Linked DNA regions of Canis lupus familiaris. The protein of the gene in region 2 purifies or fractionates together with the protein of the main gene of each other region. This does not show direct contact. Links are inferred from orthologs where the notes say so. Each region holds a gene or a part of one and is shown on either strand. Other genes may lie near its edges.

Evidence for each region.
Region 1: the proteins of NUP85 (region 2) and NUP133 purify together in Homo sapiens (affinity purification with mass spectrometry; 5 studies listed by BioGRID and IntAct, with this or other methods). This does not show direct contact. The link is inferred for Canis lupus familiaris from reciprocal best matches to the Homo sapiens genes NUP85 and NUP133.
Region 3: the proteins of NUP85 (region 2) and NUP37 purify together in Homo sapiens (affinity purification with western blotting; 4 studies listed by BioGRID and IntAct, with this or other methods). This does not show direct contact. The link is inferred for Canis lupus familiaris from reciprocal best matches to the Homo sapiens genes NUP85 and NUP37.

The regions. Positions count from the first base shown.
Region 1 is NC_049225.1:10,157,996-10,164,089, forward strand, and holds part of NUP133 (nuclear pore complex protein Nup133), read left to right. Parts: intron 1-394; coding exon 395-498; intron 499-1,820; coding exon 1,821-1,928; intron 1,929-3,509; coding exon 3,510-3,644; intron 3,645-4,617; coding exon 4,618-4,788; intron 4,789-6,094. UniProt on the Homo sapiens protein: Involved in poly(A)+ RNA transport. Involved in nephrogenesis.
Region 2 is NC_049230.1:6,128,488-6,134,778, forward strand, and holds the end of NUP85 (nuclear pore complex protein Nup85), read right to left. Parts: intron 5,850-6,291; coding exon 5,766-5,849; intron 5,666-5,765; coding exon 5,600-5,665; intron 5,413-5,599; coding exon 5,261-5,412; intron 4,505-5,260; coding exon 4,387-4,504; intron 4,283-4,386; coding exon 4,182-4,282; intron 3,141-4,181; coding exon 2,989-3,140; intron 2,580-2,988; coding exon 2,478-2,579; intron 2,119-2,477; coding exon 2,020-2,118; 3' UTR 1,935-2,019; downstream 1-1,934. UniProt on the Homo sapiens protein: Essential component of the nuclear pore complex (NPC) that seems to be required for NPC assembly and maintenance. As part of the NPC Nup107-160 subcomplex plays a role in RNA export and in tethering NUP96/Nup98 and NUP153 to the nucleus.
Region 3 is NC_049236.1:41,245,814-41,251,907, forward strand, and holds part of NUP37 (nucleoporin Nup37), read right to left. Parts: intron 4,535-6,094; coding exon 4,462-4,534; intron 3,071-4,461; coding exon 2,976-3,070; intron 1-2,975. UniProt on the Homo sapiens protein: Component of the Nup107-160 subcomplex of the nuclear pore complex (NPC). The Nup107-160 subcomplex is required for the assembly of a functional NPC.

The DNA.
Region 1 (6,094 bases), on a different chromosome or scaffold from region 2:
TTATTTGTGTTTCCATATCAAAATAAAATTATAGATGTTACTAAATATTACAGAAAGTAAGATACCTGTTTATAGCAAATATTAAAAGATAGTAAACCTAAGCCTAAAATACACTTTTTGCCTTCAGATACATTTCCAAAAATGGTTATAAAAGTCAAATAGATTCTTGTTTTGTTAATAAATATTGATTTACTCAATAGCATTTTTTGGGGAAAAAAAAAGCATTTTTTGATGTGAATGAATCTTTTTTGTATGTGGTAATAACTTATATATATATATAAAGAATGTAGCCATAAAGAAGATTTTCATATAAGGAATTTTAAGGATCTTTTTTCTTTTTAACAATTTTTAAAAATTTATGCTTTAAGATTAATTACACACTTTTTTTTTAAAGTTGATGATCAGCTCACTGTTCACATAGATGAAGGTGGATGGGCTTGTCTGGTCTGCAAAGAGAAACTCATTATTTGGAAGATTGCTCTGTCACCTATTACTAAGGTAATTGCTGTTTAGAGAACTAGTAGGAGATAGAGGAGAGGATTACCAATTGGCTCTAGATTTTTACTCTAATAAAGCTTTAGAGTTGTTACAGGACAGTAATCTGAATTTATACAACATTGTGGATTTCCATTTTTGTTACAATATGAAACACTGAGCATGCATACACATTTCTATTGGGGGGAAAAGTTCCTCCCATTTAATAATTTTAAACTAGAGCTATGTTACTTACATTTAATAACATTAGAGACTTTAAAATTTTTAATGATTGTTATAAGCATCTTGTCAGTCTATCTAATGGAGTTTAAAGACTAAATGCTGTCCACATAAGCTAATGAACTGAGTTTATTTCTAAAATAGGATTGTGTTTCACTGAATTTACTGAATGATGCTTAAGAGAGAAGAACTGAGCGGTGCCTGGGGGCGCTCGGTCAGTTAGGCAGCAACTCCTGATTCTGCTCACATCATAATCTTGGGGTCCTGAAATGGAGCTCTGCCTCACTGCACTCAGTGAGGAGTCTGCTTCAGGATTTTCTCTCTCCCTCTACCCTCGCCCCCCAAATAAATAAATGTCTTTTTAAAAAACAAAGAAAAAAATGATACCAGTTTTAGCAATTGCTAGTTTAACTTTCAGTTGTCAAGTTTCTCACATAGGGTTATCATTTGTGTTTCCAGAACCTTATCCTCAGCAACCTATTTTCCTGTGTGTTTCAGATCAGGCATCCTCTCTTACATCACTCACTGGTTACTGTTACTGGGCCTTATTCCTTTGGAACTGGGGACTCCTGCTTACCTAAACTCTTGATGTCTGTGACCTCTGTACTGCTACTACATAGAAAATAATATTTGTGAGCATAGGAAAGGGAGACAGATGTTCTGGGTGCTGTGATGAGTTAGCAGAAGGAACCTGATACCTGGCTGAGGCTAAGAAATATTTTCTAGACAACTTGGTATAATTAATTGCTCTGTGGTAATGCTGATGTTAGTTGTCAAACAAATCAAGACTAGCCTAGGAAAATTCCATACGTATTTTTCTTAACCAATAGACTTTATTTAGTCCAGAAAAACATTGGAGTAGTTGATATTCAGGGACTAGTCTAGCTTTTAAGTTTTCCTAATCCTATATCTGTTAAAAAACTTTGTTTTGAAATTACCGAAAGCCTGATCAAAAAGATGTGAGAAGAAAGAATATTTGTAGAATGGTATTTCCAGCAGTGAGTCAGAATCTAAAACATGCAAGGAAAAAAAATAGTGAAGTCAGGTGCATATTTTAAAAAATTCGATTGATGTGAAAGATTTTTTTGTTTGGGTTTCTTCTTTAGTTATCTGTTTGCAAAGAACTTCAACTGCCACCTAGTGACTTCGACTGGAGTGCTGACTTGGTGGCTCTCTCTTACTCTGATAACTCAGGTGAAACACAATCTACTCAGGTAGGTGACTTAAATGCTTATTGATACGCATTTTTTTTAAATAAAGAAGTTCTACTATTAGAGGAATCATCCAACCTGATTTAGAGACATAATGATAAAGCCACAGGAATCAAGACTTGTATTGGCAAAGGGACATATAAGGGCATTTGAACAGAATAGAGACTACAGATACAGAGTGGCCCTTTGATCTTTGACAGCTGCAACAATTATTCAATGGAGTAAGGATGGTCTTTTCAGTAAATGGTGTTGGGACCATTGGGCATCCTTATGCAAAGAAAAAGAGAGAAAGGAAGAACTACTCCCTAAATCTCCTACTTTATATAAAGATTAACTCAAAATGGATCATAGGTTTAGATGTAAAACATAAAACTATAAAAACTTTTAGAAGAAAACAGGAAAAAAAATCATCATAATCTGGGGTTAGACAAAGAGTTCTTGGAAATCACCGAAAGCATGATTCATTTTAAAAAATGGATAAATTGGACCTCATCAAAATTTAAAAATTGGCTCTGTCAAACACAGTGACAAGAAAAAGAGACAAGCTACAGCCTGGAGGAGAATATTCTTAAGTCCTATGGCCATCAAAGGACTTGTATCTCAAATGCAAAATGAACTCTCAAGGCTTATTAAGAAAACAACTGAATTTAAAAACAGGGCATAGGACTTGAACAGACACCAAGGGTGTCACAGAGGTGTTCATGTCATTAGCTATTAGGGAAATGTAAATTGAAACAATAGTGAGATATCATAATACATCTCTTAAAATGGCTAAAATACAAAATACTGACACTACGAAGTATTCCCAAGGATATGGGGCAACTGGAATTCATACATTCCTGATGAGAATGCAAAATGGTATAGCTACTGGATTTTCACACTTGCTGTTATGACCCAGCAATTCCCTTCCTGGCTGTTTACCTTATAGAAGTTAAAACTTATATTTACACAAAAAACAGTGTATGAATGTCATGGCAGCTTTTTATTTGTGATAGCCAAAGGTGGAAACAACCCAAGTGTCCTTTAACAAGTGAATGAATAAACAAACAGGGTTCATCCATAGAATGGAATTCTACTCAGCAGTGAAAAGGAATGAACTCTTGATAACAGTAACAATCTGGATGGATCTCAAGACATGCTGAAGTAAGATAAGCTGGTGCTTAAAGGTTACATTCTATATGATTTCATTTGCTTGACATTCTCAGAAAGATGGAACACTAATGATGGAAACAGTGGTTGTCAGGGTTAGGATGAGGGAAAGATGTGATTATTAAGAGAGAGCACCAGGAAGTTTGGGGTGTTGACAGAATTGTGCTGTGTCCCTATATTGGTGGTAGTTACGTGGGTCTGTACATGTGTTAAAATTTGTAGAACTAAAAAAAAAAAATTTTTTTTGTAGAACTGCACAACAAAAGAAAGTAAATTTTATAGTCTGATAATTTTTAAAATATAAAAAGGAGGGGTTTTGTCCCCCCTAATTTTTGTTAAATAGTAAATTGCCCTGGTTTCTTTTTATTGGTGTCACCAGACTCCTAGTTTCAGGGTCTTTTTTATTGTGATTACTGACTGTTATATTGTTTCAAGGCTGTTGCTGTCATGGTTGCCACCAGAGAAGGAGCCATCCGCTATTGGCCAAGCCTTGCCGGTGAAGATATCTACACAGAGACCTTCGTAGATTTGGGAGGTGATAAGACTTACAGTTTCCTAACAGCAGTGCAGGTATACAATGAGTATTCTTTTATATTTATTGGAAAGCTGTGTTTTGGCTTGGGAGTGAGATGTAAACGACTAAAAATTGTTTTGAATAGACCGTACAGGCCAGAGGGGGATCAAAAAGAGGTGAGAAGAATGAAAGGGTCTAGGATTTCAATAGGTGGACAAAAGAAAGCCCTTCTCCTAGGACTCTGAAATACCAATATTGGATCATGGCCAGTGGTATTCATTTCTTTCAGAAATTTTCAGACAGTGACTTAGGAACCCTTAAATGGTATGAAGAATAGTTTACTAATGTCCACTCTGCAAGTTTGCCAACAATAAAGTGTGATACTCGATTTGTTGAACCTGCAGTATGGTGAACCTGTTTAAGGATCAGAATTAAGAAAACATGCAGTTGGGACTCCTGGGTGGCTCAGTGGTTGAGCATCTGTCTTTGGCTCAGGTTGTGATCCCGAAGCCCTGGGATCAAGTAGCAAATCAGGCTCCCCATGGGGAGTCTGCTTCTCCTTCTGCCTGTCTCTGCCTCTCTATGTCTCATGGATAAATCTTTTTTTAAAAAAAGAAAAATATGTGATTAAAAAAACAATTATAACTGAAGTTTTTCTTTTTCTTTTTTTATTTTAAAGATTTTATTTATTCATTCTCGAGAGACATAGAGAGGCAGAGGGAGAAGCAGGCTCAGGCAGGAAGCCCCATGCGGGACTTGATTCCAGGTCTTCAGGATCACACTCTGCGCTGAAGGCAGACACAACTGCTGAGCCATCCAGACATCCCTGAAGTTTTTCTGTGTAGAGTTAATATCATGTGAGTGGATTCATAATTAAATCATTTTAGTAAAATGACACTTAAAATTCTTTTTAGATTTGTTTTAAGGTATAGATGATAGATGATTTGTTTCTATGATCAAAGCATTTTGTGTTAATGTTCTTTATCTCAGTTGTAGATGCATAACTGCTTTCACAATATTTGTTCATAGGGAGGAAGTTTTATTTTGTCCTCATTGGGAAGCCAGCTGGTTCGGCTGATACCTGATAGTTTAGGAAAGATTCATCAACATATCCTACCTCAAGGACAAGGCATGCTTTCAGGAATTGGTCGGAAGGTTTCTTCTCTTTTGGGAATTTTATCTCCAAGTAGTGATCTCATCGTAAGTTGATAAAAATAATTTTGTTTTACAAGCTTGTTTCTTAGTGAAATCAGTAAGTTGGAAGTTTCCTATGATGTTGATATTGCCTCCGTATGAACACTAGTGTATATGAAATAGAATCTTTGATTTTTTTCAGGGAAGCATGTTTTGATCAAATGAGTTCGTATTAACCAAACCCTTTTGCAAACCCTGTAACTTTAGTATTCTTAAATCATACAGATTCTAAGTAGAGTTTTTGAATTAAAATTGTTATATAAAATTATAAATGTGTTTAAGGACCAATTTTGGTTTTTAGATTTAACCAAAAGTGTGTTCTCCATTCCCATGACTCCAGCTGTATGTGTGGATGACTCAGATCTAGATCTGTCAGCCGGGCTTCTGCCTCAGGCTCTGGAATAGTGAAAGGAGGTGGACGAGAGCTAACGTGGAACATCTATTCTCTGCTAGGTGCTCTGTATTTGTTATCTGGAGTAATTGTTATGATGACCTATAATGTAGAGAGCATTCTCCCCAGTTTGCAGATGAAGATACAGCCTCAGGGACATTATGTAAACTGCCTGAGGTTGCACAGCTACTCTGTGGCAGATACGTGCCCAGGCCTCTGGGAATCAAAAGCACATTTTCTTCTCACTGTGCTGTTCGTCACTGCAGGTTGCTCTCATCATCCACTTTCTTGATGGTCTTTGGACCTAAAACCTGATGTGTCTGAAAACACATTGCTCATATTCCCTCTTCTCTTATGTTTTCTGTACCAGAAGTGTATATAAAACTCGTTTCTCTTTTGGGCTGTTTATTTCTGTTCATGACCCTGTCACTTTTTTTAGTAACCTCAATATAAAACCTTCATCCTGTATATATGTGTCTTCCCTTCTATAGCAAATTACTTACTTATCAGATACTATAGATTTGACTTCTACCATGTCTCATTTTAATCCCTATCTCTTGCTTCCATTGTTATGCCCTAATCTACACTCTTTTTAAATTTCCCCTAAGTTCTTCATGCCAGTTTAGTTTACTCACTGTTGGCCCCTTATCCTGTTAGTGGCCAGAATCATGGTAACAGGAAAAATGGAGAAAAGTAGGGCTTTAACTCAAAACAATCATGTGTGCCCAACTAAAAACATAACTGTACTTCAGAACCAAGTATATACTTGAAAAGGCAAAATAATCTACCTACATGGGGCACCTGGGTGGCTCAGTCAGTTAAGCATCTGCCTTAGGCTCAGGTCATGATTCCAGGGCACTGGGATGAAGCCCCATATTGGGCTCTGCCTCTGCCCTTCCCTCTGCTTGTGCTCTCTCTCTT
Region 2 (6,291 bases):
GGCCCTGGGCATCGCTGCTAGGAGCCGAGCTGCTGCTGTGATGCTCTCTCCCTTGGCCCCCTAAAAGGACCTGATTTTTATCTACCTGTGTGACTTGAAGTGGCCGTGTACTGTCAGGGGTGGGGAGTGGCTTGACTCTTTAACTATTGCCCTGGGAACATGGACCCAAGGCAGGGAGGAGGCTTTTTCCCTCGTGTTGGTATCCTGACGCTGTAGAGGAGTCGTCTCTAAAGAGACTTAAGAGAATCCCAAGGACCACATCCTCACACCCTAGAGGCCTCAGCCCCCATCACTACTCTGTGCTTCCCCTGCTGGCAGGCTCCTGCTCCCACCTCCGGAGAGGTAGGCAAAGCCGAGTGGTTCTGAGCCACCCTGGGCAGAGTGAGTTGATATACTGCTGCATCTCCAACTCTGCCTTCCATGGGCAGCATCACCCTGGAACAGCCACCGTGTCACCAGTTGTATGCTTGTCTCTGGCGGTGGCAGGCTGTGTCCTATGGACATCTCGGCAGGCTGTGGAACTCAGCCTGTTAGGAACAGAACTCGGCCTTGGGGCAGCCAAAACTAGGAGTATGAAAGAATGAAGAGAACCAGTATTCCCCTTCTCTGGAAGCAGGTACTCAAAGCTTTCTGGGGAAAGTGTGCCTCCTGCCTTGAGAACAGGCCATCCTATTCACTACCTCTTGCTTGGCATGAAATAAACTGCTCTTCTGCCCTTCAAGCCTCTGAAGGGAAGAACAACTCCCATCACCCTCTGCGTCCTCCTGCTTGGGCCTTCCCCTCTTCCCACCAGATGGCCTGTTGTGTGGCATGTGATTGGGAATAGGAGGCCTCAGGGTCAGGCACATTGCACTAGACTTCTATCCTTACCTGTTGCCCAGGGACCTTGACTATCCCCAGCTGCTGAGGGGCACCAGTCACCGCGATATGGGGTCTGGAGGTGGTGAGATCAGGAACCATGCTTGAATCGAGTCACCAGACCCTGTTGCTTTGACAGTGCTCAGCTCCAGAAAGCTTGTGCCAGTTGTTCCATCTACCAGATGCAACTGGGCCAGGGAGTCTAGGCCTCATGGGGCAACAGGAAAATTGCCTCCACCAGCTGAGGAAAGAGCACACAGCTCACCTGAGCTCAGCTGGATGGCACAGAGCCATCTTTGGGGAAAGGTGGCACAAACCACACTCCCTGATCCCTCCCTGCACTTTGCCAGGTTTCCTTACTGTATTCCTTCCCTTCCATCTTGAGCAAGCAGGTTTCACTGCTTCATTAGGACAAGTCAAAAGTGAATCAGTTTCACTACCTATAAATTTAAGAGCTTTCCAGAGACTGGCTGCTTGCAGCCCTGGGAAGATTTGTGGGATTACTATATGGAAAATACACCTTTATAATAAGCTTTAGACATTAAAACTATCTGAGTGTTACTACTGAAGTCACTGCTTTGTGACAAATGGCTGTGTACAATATACTGACTCTGCTGCCCTTGTTTTGCTGCATGTCAAATAAAATCATTTTTGCCCTACCTGGAATCCTAATACAGATGACCATTCACTCTACTGTGGACAAAGCACCACTTAGGAATTCCAGACGTATACAGGTAGATATGCTGGCATCACCTGAGATTTTTGTTGGTCAAAGTACAGGTTCCTGGACCTTTTCCTTTTCTAAAGTAAAAACCAGGTAAAGGTTCCAGTTGATTGTAAAGGCTAAATTTCAGAAGCGTAAGTAAACCACTGACCACTCTTGTTTAAGCTAATAGGGAAGGAGGGCACTGCACTCACCGTCATGACTTCTAGGAGTGGCTTTTTTTTCTCTTGGAAGACAGGGAGACCAGTTCCATCCAAGGAAAACATAACAAGCACTTTCTTAATTACCACCAACCTCAGGTTCATAGTAGAGGGGAAACTCCCTAGGCTGGACTCCAAGAATTTGCCTTCTATTTGGGGGAAGAAAAATTTATTTTTTCAGAAATCTATATACATTGCCATATGAAAATGACACATTGAAGCAGCTCTTGGCTGACCTCAGGATCCTTCCAGTGAGCCTTCTTTTATAATGGCCCGGCCAAGATTTCGTGCAAGAGCAAGTCTCAGCATTTCCAACTTCGTGTTCTCCACGTCCTCCTAAAAGTAAACAGAGCCAGCGTGAGGTACAGCAGAAGTGTTCCTTCTTTAAAGCTCTGCAAGGCTCTATCTGACCCAAAGGCAGACCAAGGGCATTTAGCATTTAGTACTAGCTTCCAGCAAGTTGACAGAACCACATGCAAAGGCCCACTGTGACCGCCAGAAGAAAAGAACAGAACACTAGAACCACCCTACTTTCTACTAAAGAGTTGGGGGTGTCAATAACAGGTTAAAAGGTAACTCAAGAAGCACAAGTTTGTAAGGAGCCAGTGTTTCTGGAGGAAAGTAGGGAAGTCTAAGATGGAAGGAGCCTTTTCTCATCACCATTATGGAATCAACAATCCAAAAGCTAAAATAACCTGGAGTCGCTGAACACCAGGCTCTCTCCACACTGGCCTTCTTGAGGCGAAGTCCTCTAGACATCTCATCAGCTCATATGTTTGCTCTGCTGAAAAAACCACCTAGGAGAGAGAGGAGTGGCTGCTTTGCTTAGTTGCTCCCCAGGCAAGGGCTGCACTGGTCTGGGCATGCACCTGGGTTCAGAGATGGCCTTTGTGCAAACCCTTGGGAGGAGTGAGCTCTGTATATGCAGCTCTGGGAGGACAGAGCCCTTATGCTCACTCTCAGCCCTTCCTGTCAGGGCCCTAGGCGGAGTACTATCCGTAGACTGCTGCTTCATTTCAAATTAAGTAGCTTTTCTTGGGTAGATACCAGATTTTCAGAGTGGGCGTTACAGGGGAATGCACACATACGTGCAGGGCCCTACTTGGGAGATGATGTGTGGATGTGCACCCACAACAGCTACAGAATGAAGCACAATCAAGGACTACAAAACACAGAGAAGAAAATCATTCTGAATTCAAACTGTACCTCTTTCTCTTCCAAAAGGGGCAAGGCATCTATTAATAGTATTACCCAGAAAGACCGTGGGGCTATCTGGGAAGTCATCAATGACAGGAGAAGAGAAGCTGCATCAGCAAGACGCTTCTCCCCATAAAATCGGTGGAACTCGCGGTACTTTCCTATTGAGAAAACAGAGCACTGAGTCACCTCTGGCCCTAAACAAGATGAGAAACCCCAGACCAGCTGCTCCAAAGCAGGGAGACTCTTCCAGAACGGTCTCGAAACTCATGTACCAACAGAATTGAAAACACACATAAACACACACACACACACATACATTTTGAAGGAGCTCCAAAGAGCCAACCTCCCAGAATGTAACCACCAAACCAAACCAGAGACGTGGACTGCAACAGATTGAAGAACCCATAGGTCTCAATCTCATCATGAGGAAACCTGACATAAATCCAAAATAAGGGCATAAGAAAGCAGAACAGACTCTTCAAAAATGTCAAGGTGGGATCCCTGGATGGCTCAGCGGTTTAGCGCCTGCCTTTGGCCCAGGGCGTGACCCTGGAGTCCTGGGATCGAGTCCCACACATCGGGCTCCCTGCATTGAGCCTGCTTCTCCCTCTGGCTGTCTGTCTCTTTCATGAATAAATAAATAAAAATCTTTAAAAAAAAAGTCAAGGTGAAGAAGTGCAGAAGCACTAAGAAATGCAGAAGCACTACAGAGACAGGAAAACTGAATTTGTGAATGTGGACGTGACAAAAGCCGTCACTGGGAGAGCTGATAATAACCAGAACATGGACTAGAGATTTTATGAGAGCGGTACATTCGGATAGCTAGTTCTAGAAGAGGATGTGCTTCTCTTAGGAAACACGTGCTCAAGTATTTATGAAGAAAGGGGAAGAAACTCCAACTTTCAGATTACTCCCCCAAAACCTGAGAGAATAATAAATGAGGCAAAATAAAAATGGTGAATTTCGAGAAAGCGTACATGGGAGCTCCTTACTTCTTATATTACTCTTGTACCTTTTTCTCAAGTTTGACACTACTAGGAAATGTTTCCAGAAAATATGCTTTGTAGAGTCTGGCATACATAGTTCAAGGAATTTGGGCTCAACAGGAAGGAAACACTGGAGAAGCCTAAATCAGTCCCTCCCATCTGCACAACCCATCACTGTGCTGAAGGTCCGAGGGACAGAGCCCAGAGACTCACCCAAGAAGGTTAGTCGATCACTGAGCATCATGGCTGGCCCCAGGTTGTCAATGAGATCCAGATCAGAAAAGCAGCCTCGCTCACAGTAATCCTTGAGGAACCTGCCAGGCCCGGCCCAGAGGTCTGAGCAGCGGTCCCAGGCCACCTTCCTCAGCCTCCCGACTTCCCAGACAGTCCCCAGAAAGCCAAGAGAGGTTGAGCCCACCTGTCTGACACCAGCGTGGCAAAGGCAGCATCTTTGGCTCGGATGCTCCAAGATAGGGCAGAGCCCAGGCGATTGTTGCGGACAGCTTTCATGGCTAAGATCTTACAAATGCTGCGGACTTTGTAAGGAAAAAGAAGGTGAACTTTTCACCCTGCAGATCAGGCCGTTCTTGAACCTTGCCAGATAGGAGTAGGCTTCTCTCTCCTCTGAGCTTTCTGCAGCCTCTTCACAGGTTCCAAATACAACTTGTTGCCAACACTGGGGACTCTGGGGCTTATAAATTGCCTCCTGGTTCTATTAACACTATGTCCCATCCTGGCAGGAATGACCTTGTGAGTGGGTTTGATTTTAGGAGTACAAAAAGATTTTTATTGCTCCTCACAGGTCAGCTAATAGGGCATTTGTCCAGGTGCCAAAAACATCCTTTGGGTTTTGAATGCCATCCATACGTTTTCAGCGATGGTCATAAGCAAGCAGATGCCTCTAGAAAGAACTTGGGTTTTTATCCCTCAACAGTGAAAGGAGAGGGCGAAAATAGAACAGCTTTCTTTTTGTGCTCTTCCTGAGCTGCGACTGATCCTGCTTCCCCACTGAGACAGTCTTAGCTAGCAATAGCAACCCACCTGGGAGAAGTAAATTCCAAGCTGACCTCAGTCCTGACCTTCTTAGAGTAAGCAGGAGAGAGGAAGTGGGTCAGGATCTCTTTAAAAGGCCGTGTGCTCCACTGTTTTAAGTCCTGACACCTCCCTAGCCATTTGTCCTTCCTCAATAATTTTCCTGTTTTGGCTTATCTCTTGGCACCCACTGCCCAGCCGTTCTCCAGTCCGGCCAGAGCAGCATGAGCAGCAAGCATGCAGGAGGAGGGTGGGCTCACCTTGCTCAGTCATCTGCCGCTGCTCACAAATCCGCAGCACTTTGAGAGCTTTCTGCTCAGTGCTCAGGGGGATCCGCTCAATGTGCAGCTCCAAGGAAACTCGGCCCAACTCAGGGCAGTAGTCAAAGTAGTCCACTCCCAGCTGCCACAGGCTGCAAACATCCAAGGACAGGAGCGACTGATGAGCCCATGTGCTGCCCTAGAGCTTGGGGACTGGCACCAAGATGACTCCTCCCCTGGACCCGTTGCCTTCAGGGAACCAGACAGGGGAGAGCACAATCCAAGACCCAGTGGTACATCCATGCTGAAAAGCACCTCATATCCTTGGGGCTTTCCTACCTGTGATGAGCAAACAGTCCTGAGGCATATTCCAGCAGGAGGAACTCTCTCATGTTAGATCCAAAGCTGAAAGAAAACATAACAGGAGACCCAAACCCCTGGCCTGCTCCATTCAGGGCCCTCCCACAGCCCAACCCAAGGGCAGGCATGGCCGCCACACACTTACTACAGGTTGTGCGACTGGAGGAGCTTGCAGTGATCCAGCAGGTCTGTCAGATGGGCCACAAACCACCAGTTGCTCAGAGCAATACTACAGATTCAAACACCAGGGCAAGAAGGAGAGTCAGGGTGACTATATGGCCCATGTGAGCCTGCATATCCTTTGCATAAAAGGATGGGAGGGACAATAACAAGTGAAAATATGTCTGGAAGCACACAGCTATGTGCTATGTGGGGACGGACAGTGGATACTCAGAAGGATGGTAAGCCCTCAAAGTGGAAGCCAACAATCTAGATCTCTGGAAAATGTCACAGTGAAAATAAAATTCAGGGATCCAATCACATGCAGAGAATGTGGATACAAAATAATGTGTAAAAAAAAAAACCAAACAAACAGATAGGCTTAATAAACACAGAGAACAAACTGGTGGTTATCAGACAGAGGGAGGTAGGGGACTGGAGAACTACGTGAAAAGGTACAAACTTCCAGTTATGAGTGATTTATGCAAATGAAAAGTATAGCTATGCTAACT
Region 3 (6,094 bases), on a different chromosome or scaffold from region 2:
TTTTTAATATAGGTGGTTATAGCCATAAATTTCCCTCTGGGCATGGTTTTGCTGCATCTTGTAAATTTTGTTGTGTATTCATTTGTACTTACCTCAGAGTAGTTTCTAAATTCCCTTATTTCTTTTTTGACTTGTTTATATGTTGATATTTGTAGATTTTTCAATTTTACCTCTGTTACTGACTCCTGGTTTATTCTACTGTGGTCAAATAAGATACTCTGCATGACTTTGATCTGTTAAAATTTATTTAGACTTGTTTTTAGGCTTGACATAATGTTTATTCTGGAGGATGTTTCATGTATACTTGAGAAGAATGTGTATTCTGGTGATGCTGAAAGTGTTTGGAGTGTTTCGTATACATCTGTTAGGTCTAGTTGTTTATAATGTTGTTCAAATCCTCTAGTTCCTTGTTGACCTTCAGGCTATTCTATTGAGTATGTATTTTTAAGCATGGTATCACCTGCACATAAAATTACTTCCAAGATGAAAGAGGATTTGCCTATGATTGGACAAGGATTTCATTTGTCCAAGTGAACAAATGAAACATGCAGACCCAAACTATGGTAGGCATTTCTTTAGTATAGCGATAGGGACGATTCCTAGGATATAAATAGCTATTTCCATTGCCCAAACCACAGCTGCCATTTGGATGGTGTCTTTATTAGTAACTTGGCAATTCATTCTATACTTTGAATTAATGAAGATAGTTGTACTGAAATATTTTCCTCTTGTAGTCCTCTCGGAATCCCTTCTTCCATTTGTTATTATGAATGTATGATACTTATTATTCTTCCTTAAACTTCTTGATTTATGCTGTTTCTTTTATTTTTTTTTTAAAGATATGTTTATTTATTCATGAGACACAGAGAGAGAGAGAGAGAGAGAGAGACAGAGAGAGAGAGAGAGAGAGATAGGCAGAGGGAGAAGCAAGCTTTTTGCAGGAGCCCAATGTGGGACTTGATCCCAGATCCCGGGACCACTGCCTGAGCTGCCCAACCACTGAACCACCCAGGCATCCCTATGCTGTTTCTTTTAAAAGTCTCATATATATTGTTTTTGGCCCAAGAGGTCTGACTTTCTTTAATAGCCAATCAGAACTGTCCTTTACTTCTGATAGGAGAACTAACCTGATGAATTCTAAATTTAGCTCCCCAGCTATTGCTAAAATGATGTTATCAACCTCCAAATCTCAATGGCTTATAAAAATAAGCATAAATTTCTTGCTCACAAGTCTGCAGGAAGCTCTATTTCATAATACCAGATGGGTCCATATTTGTTCCATATGTTTCTCATTCTGGGACCAGTAGCTATCCAGACATGTTCATCTTATAGGAGACAGAGGACAGTAGGTCAACACAAACCAGGTAAATCATTTCAATGTCTGCTTGCATCACAACTGCTAACATTGTGATGGCCTAAACAAGCTAAACCCAATGGTGTGGGAAAATCTCCTTCCATGTGAAGGGGGAGGGAGAGTAAGTATTTGTTGAACAATAACATCATCAACCACAGTCTAGCAAAATAAGGCAATTAGGGGCATCAGAGTAAGTTTTTCAAAAAGCTAAATTTATTTAAAGGACTTACTTTGAAGTTAAGCCTTTCTCCTTTTTAGAGTAACAATGTTCTTACTTTCATAAAATGATGGTAATAATAGAAGGCAGCAGACTTTTTAAAATTCTTATTACTTGACAAAAAGTTGGCAACCCTTTGTCAGTCCCTAAAATTTTAGGACAATTTTACTAGTCTAAAAAACCCCCAAATTCTATTATAAGAAAAAAAAAGTAATCACAGACCACTGAATGTAATCCCAGGTCTCTAGCTATTGTTCACTATTCAGAGGTTATTCCTTGGCTTGCAAAGTCACTTATTTTCCCCCTTCTCAAGTTTCATTATTCCAAATGCTTGTGATTAGGAAAGTCCATGAGTTAGAGAACTAAAATGTCATTATTTGTATCTGTGATCTATTCTAAATTTTACCTTAAAAATTATCCCATTTACTCTTCAGGTCTCTATACAAACTTGGGGTTTGTAACACTTGAGGCCCTAACACCTTAAAATTTTTCTGTTCTTGACATGAACATTTTCACAGGCAGTATATAAAGAATAATGACCTATGACTCAGTAACTTTAAAAAGATGAGCTATTATGATTAAAATTGAAAGAGTAGCTAATGGCTTTACTGCCAATGTGAAAGGACACATACTTAAAGGTTTTATGTGTATACAAGTATTCACAAATACTAATGATTTTGTTATAGCCTTATCAAATATTAAAACTATGTGAAATAGCAGAGCTGTGTTTTTTTTCTCACAGTACTGTTAAAGCAAATGAAACTGGCACTCCTTTAGAATTCCCTCATCTCACTCCTGACTCCTCAGCTTATTTCCACCTCCTACTCTTGCTCTTCATCTTGTTCTTTACTTGTGAAATTCTCCACTGTTAGGCACTATTAAAAAATGTTATAGCTCTCATCCATTCCAAACTGGGGAATGGGATGGAAGAAAAGGATATTGAAATGCACTATATCTACAGAAAACCTTATATACAGACTTCAGATTTGTCAAAACAGGAAATCTCTCATGTCTTTTTTTAGCAAAGAAGATTTGCAATTCATTAAACATCAAGTTATCAGACAGGATCTGCAAAATAAATCCACAATATGGCAACTGCCTTTTATTGCCCTACTGATCTTACCCAATAGTGGAGAATTTGACCCAATATATATTTAAATTTCATAAATGCATATATATATATAAACTAAGAGGCAGAGAGGGAAGTTTTCATTATCTGGGATGAGAGCTCACTAGTTTTGAAACTTATGTCTGTGCCATGCTTATAATTTAAATAAAGTGTGCATCTTTTACAACATTTTATGGAGTATATATGAAAATTATATTTTCTGTAATTTTACAATGTAATTCTCATTAAAATAAGATGAAAATTGAAAAATGTGCTTTTAACATTAAGTAACATACCTGCAGGTATGATCATCACTCACACTTGCAATTTCTTGTCCTTCTTTGGGATCAAACACCAAGCCATTAATGAAATCTGAATGGCCCTCTAAAACCTGACATAAGGGGAAAAGGTAGTAAGAATACAGGAAAATAATCTACAATATTTCTAACTAATATTTTTACTTCACTGCCTTAAAAACTTTCACTGCATGCTTCCCTTTTCTATAAATATTTCTTAAGCAATCTGCTATTTTTAAAGCATGATTTATACACCCACTTTACTGGAAGGTTTATCTTGGAAAGAAGCTGATCACTCAACACATTGCTATTAGCTTGATCTTTTTTTTCTAGTATGCATTTCTTATAAAAACACACACACACTTTTTTTACTGTACCTGTCCTCATCTCACCTCCTCTCTCACTTATTATATAAAGCTTTAATAAAAATTAAAGCTAGAATAACTTTCTAGGGGCACCGAGATAGAGCCTCCTGAACTTTTTAACTCATACCTACTGCTCAGCAAACTTACTGCCTAATAAACACATAGTAAGGATTTCACCTTCTGAGGTCTTTATTCATTTCCTCAATGTGCCTGCCAGCACTGGAGACAAGTATTAGAAGCCAATAATCATGACAACCTAGAAATTAATTTTTGTTTTATGGTGAGAACATTTAAGATTTACTCTCTTAGCAACTTTCAAGTATAAAACCCATTCTATTAACTATACTAATTGTGCTGTACATTAGGTTCCTAGAACTTACTTATCTTATTACTGGAAGTTTGGTACCCTTTGACCAACATCTACTCATTTCCCCCAGACCCCAGCAATCACCACTCTACTCTGTTTCTATGAGTTTGGGTTTTTAAAATTCTGTATATAAGTGAGATCATACAGTACTCATCTTTCTCTTATTTTACAGGGTTATTTATTATACTAATAGAAAACATATACATAGGGTTCACTTGTACAAAACATTGTTTTGTTTTATATGAATTAGCTCAGTCAATGTTCATAATCTTATGAGACAGATACTATGATTATCTCCATGTTAGAGATAAGGAACTGAGCACAAAGAAATTGAGAACTTGACCAGTCACACTGCTACTAACGCGGGAGAACTGACTTCAAACCCTGGCAGTCTGGCTCCTGTGTCTGCGCTCTTAAGTGCTTTGTAATTCTACCTTGCCCTATATGCTGCACTAATCATTGGTTGTCTCAAAGTTGGACTCTCAACACTACGCGTGTTCATGTCTATAATCCTCCTACTATACCCAAATGTGAATTTCTAATTCTCTCTCATTTGTTGTGCCTACCTAATATTTTAATAAATATCAAATTTATAATCTGTAGTTCTTACTATAGCCTAAAATTGAGTAAATTAAATCCTAAACTGTATACTTTAAAGGTGACCATTATACGTCATTTTAAATTGAGATAAATCCAATTAAAAAGGCAAAATGATGTTTTCAAATAAAGTTATGAATTACAGTTGTCAACATACCTTATATTCATTTTTATCTTGAAGATCTGAAGTAAATAATCTTATTTTCATATCAGCAGCTGAAGTACAAAATCTGGAATTAAGAAAACAAAAACCAACACAAATCAATAACTGGAGCTACAAGCAGAGACAAGGATGAATCTCACATACATAAAGTCAAATGAACAAAGCAGGACAAAAAAAATGATATTATTATTCCATCTGTATGAAAGTTCATTAAGTAGGAAAAAATAATATAATAACTATATTGTTTTAGGGATGAATACATAGCTGATAAAACTATTTTATAAAGATAAGAAGGGCAGCCCCAGCGGCTTGGCGGTTTAACGCCACCTGCAGCCTAGGGCGTGATCTGGAGACCCTGGATCGAGTCCCACGTCGGGCTCTCTGCATGGAGCCTGCTTCTCCCTCTGCCTGTGTCTCTGCCTCTTTCTCTCTCTCCATCTCTATGAATAAATAAATAAAATCTTTACGAAAAAAAAAATAAAAAATAAAAAGGTAAGAATTGACTGCCGTAATAATCATGAGTTTAATTATCTTTAACGGGAAGGAAGAGGGTTGATTAGGGAGGGGCACAAGGGGTCCTTGGATGCTGGGAATGTTCTACTTCTTGACCTGGTGACCATTACAAGGGTGTTTGTTTTATAATAATCCTGTTAAATTGCCCATGTACTTTTTGGGGCACTTTTGGGCATGTATGCTATATTTCATAACATACCAATAAAAGGTAAGAAAACGTAAAAAACAAAGCCTATCTACCTGGTTTTTCTCCTTTGAATTTATCCTACTATTGTTTTGGGTATTCATATTTTTCCACTCAGAGGAAACTCTAGAACAGATTTTTCTAACAACATTACTAATGTGAGGGTTTCCTAACATACATCTCCTCATACTTACGTCATAAGAAATCATTTAAAAATCATCTCTAATAAAACAGAAAAAGGCTACTTTAGAAGGTTTTTAAAAGAAATATTCCAAGCAAAAAGGTTTATAAAGTATTAGTAAAAGAGTAATAAGGCCATGTTCAGTAAAAACATTGAAAACAAAGGACTTACAGAAGTCAAAGATTATTTACTTAAAAAAAAATAACGAAAGGATCTTATTAAAGGAACACACACTCACCAAACTTTATGGCAAACCTTGTGTTGTTCCACCTTTCTCCAAACGTTGCTACTTGAGTTTATAGCGTTAAGTGTATTTACACCATCCTTTAATTAAACCATAAAGCCTCAGAGAACAGAAGTAAGGTGAAGAGTTGCTCTCCAGCAAGTGTGAAGAAAAGCAAGTAGGGATGAACAGAGAAAGACAGTTGAATGGAAGGCAACTAAACGCTAAATATAAAACTCTAGGAATGTGTTCTTTCTAACTGTAAGTTAAAAGTTAATGATGACAAGACAGCCACCAAGTTTTACTTCAGTCATCTTGACAGGCAACTCTTTAGTTGTGATAAAAATAGTATTTACTTTGGAATTTATATATAAAAGTAAAATAAGAAGTATAAAAACTTACAAATAGAGTTTAATCACAATTGTGTAAAATTATTTATGAAAAAATAGGGCATTGGGTGTAGAGATGGTTTTTGAAAATGTTTTTGTATATCCCAAATTTGATATAGTAAATATGTATTATTTTG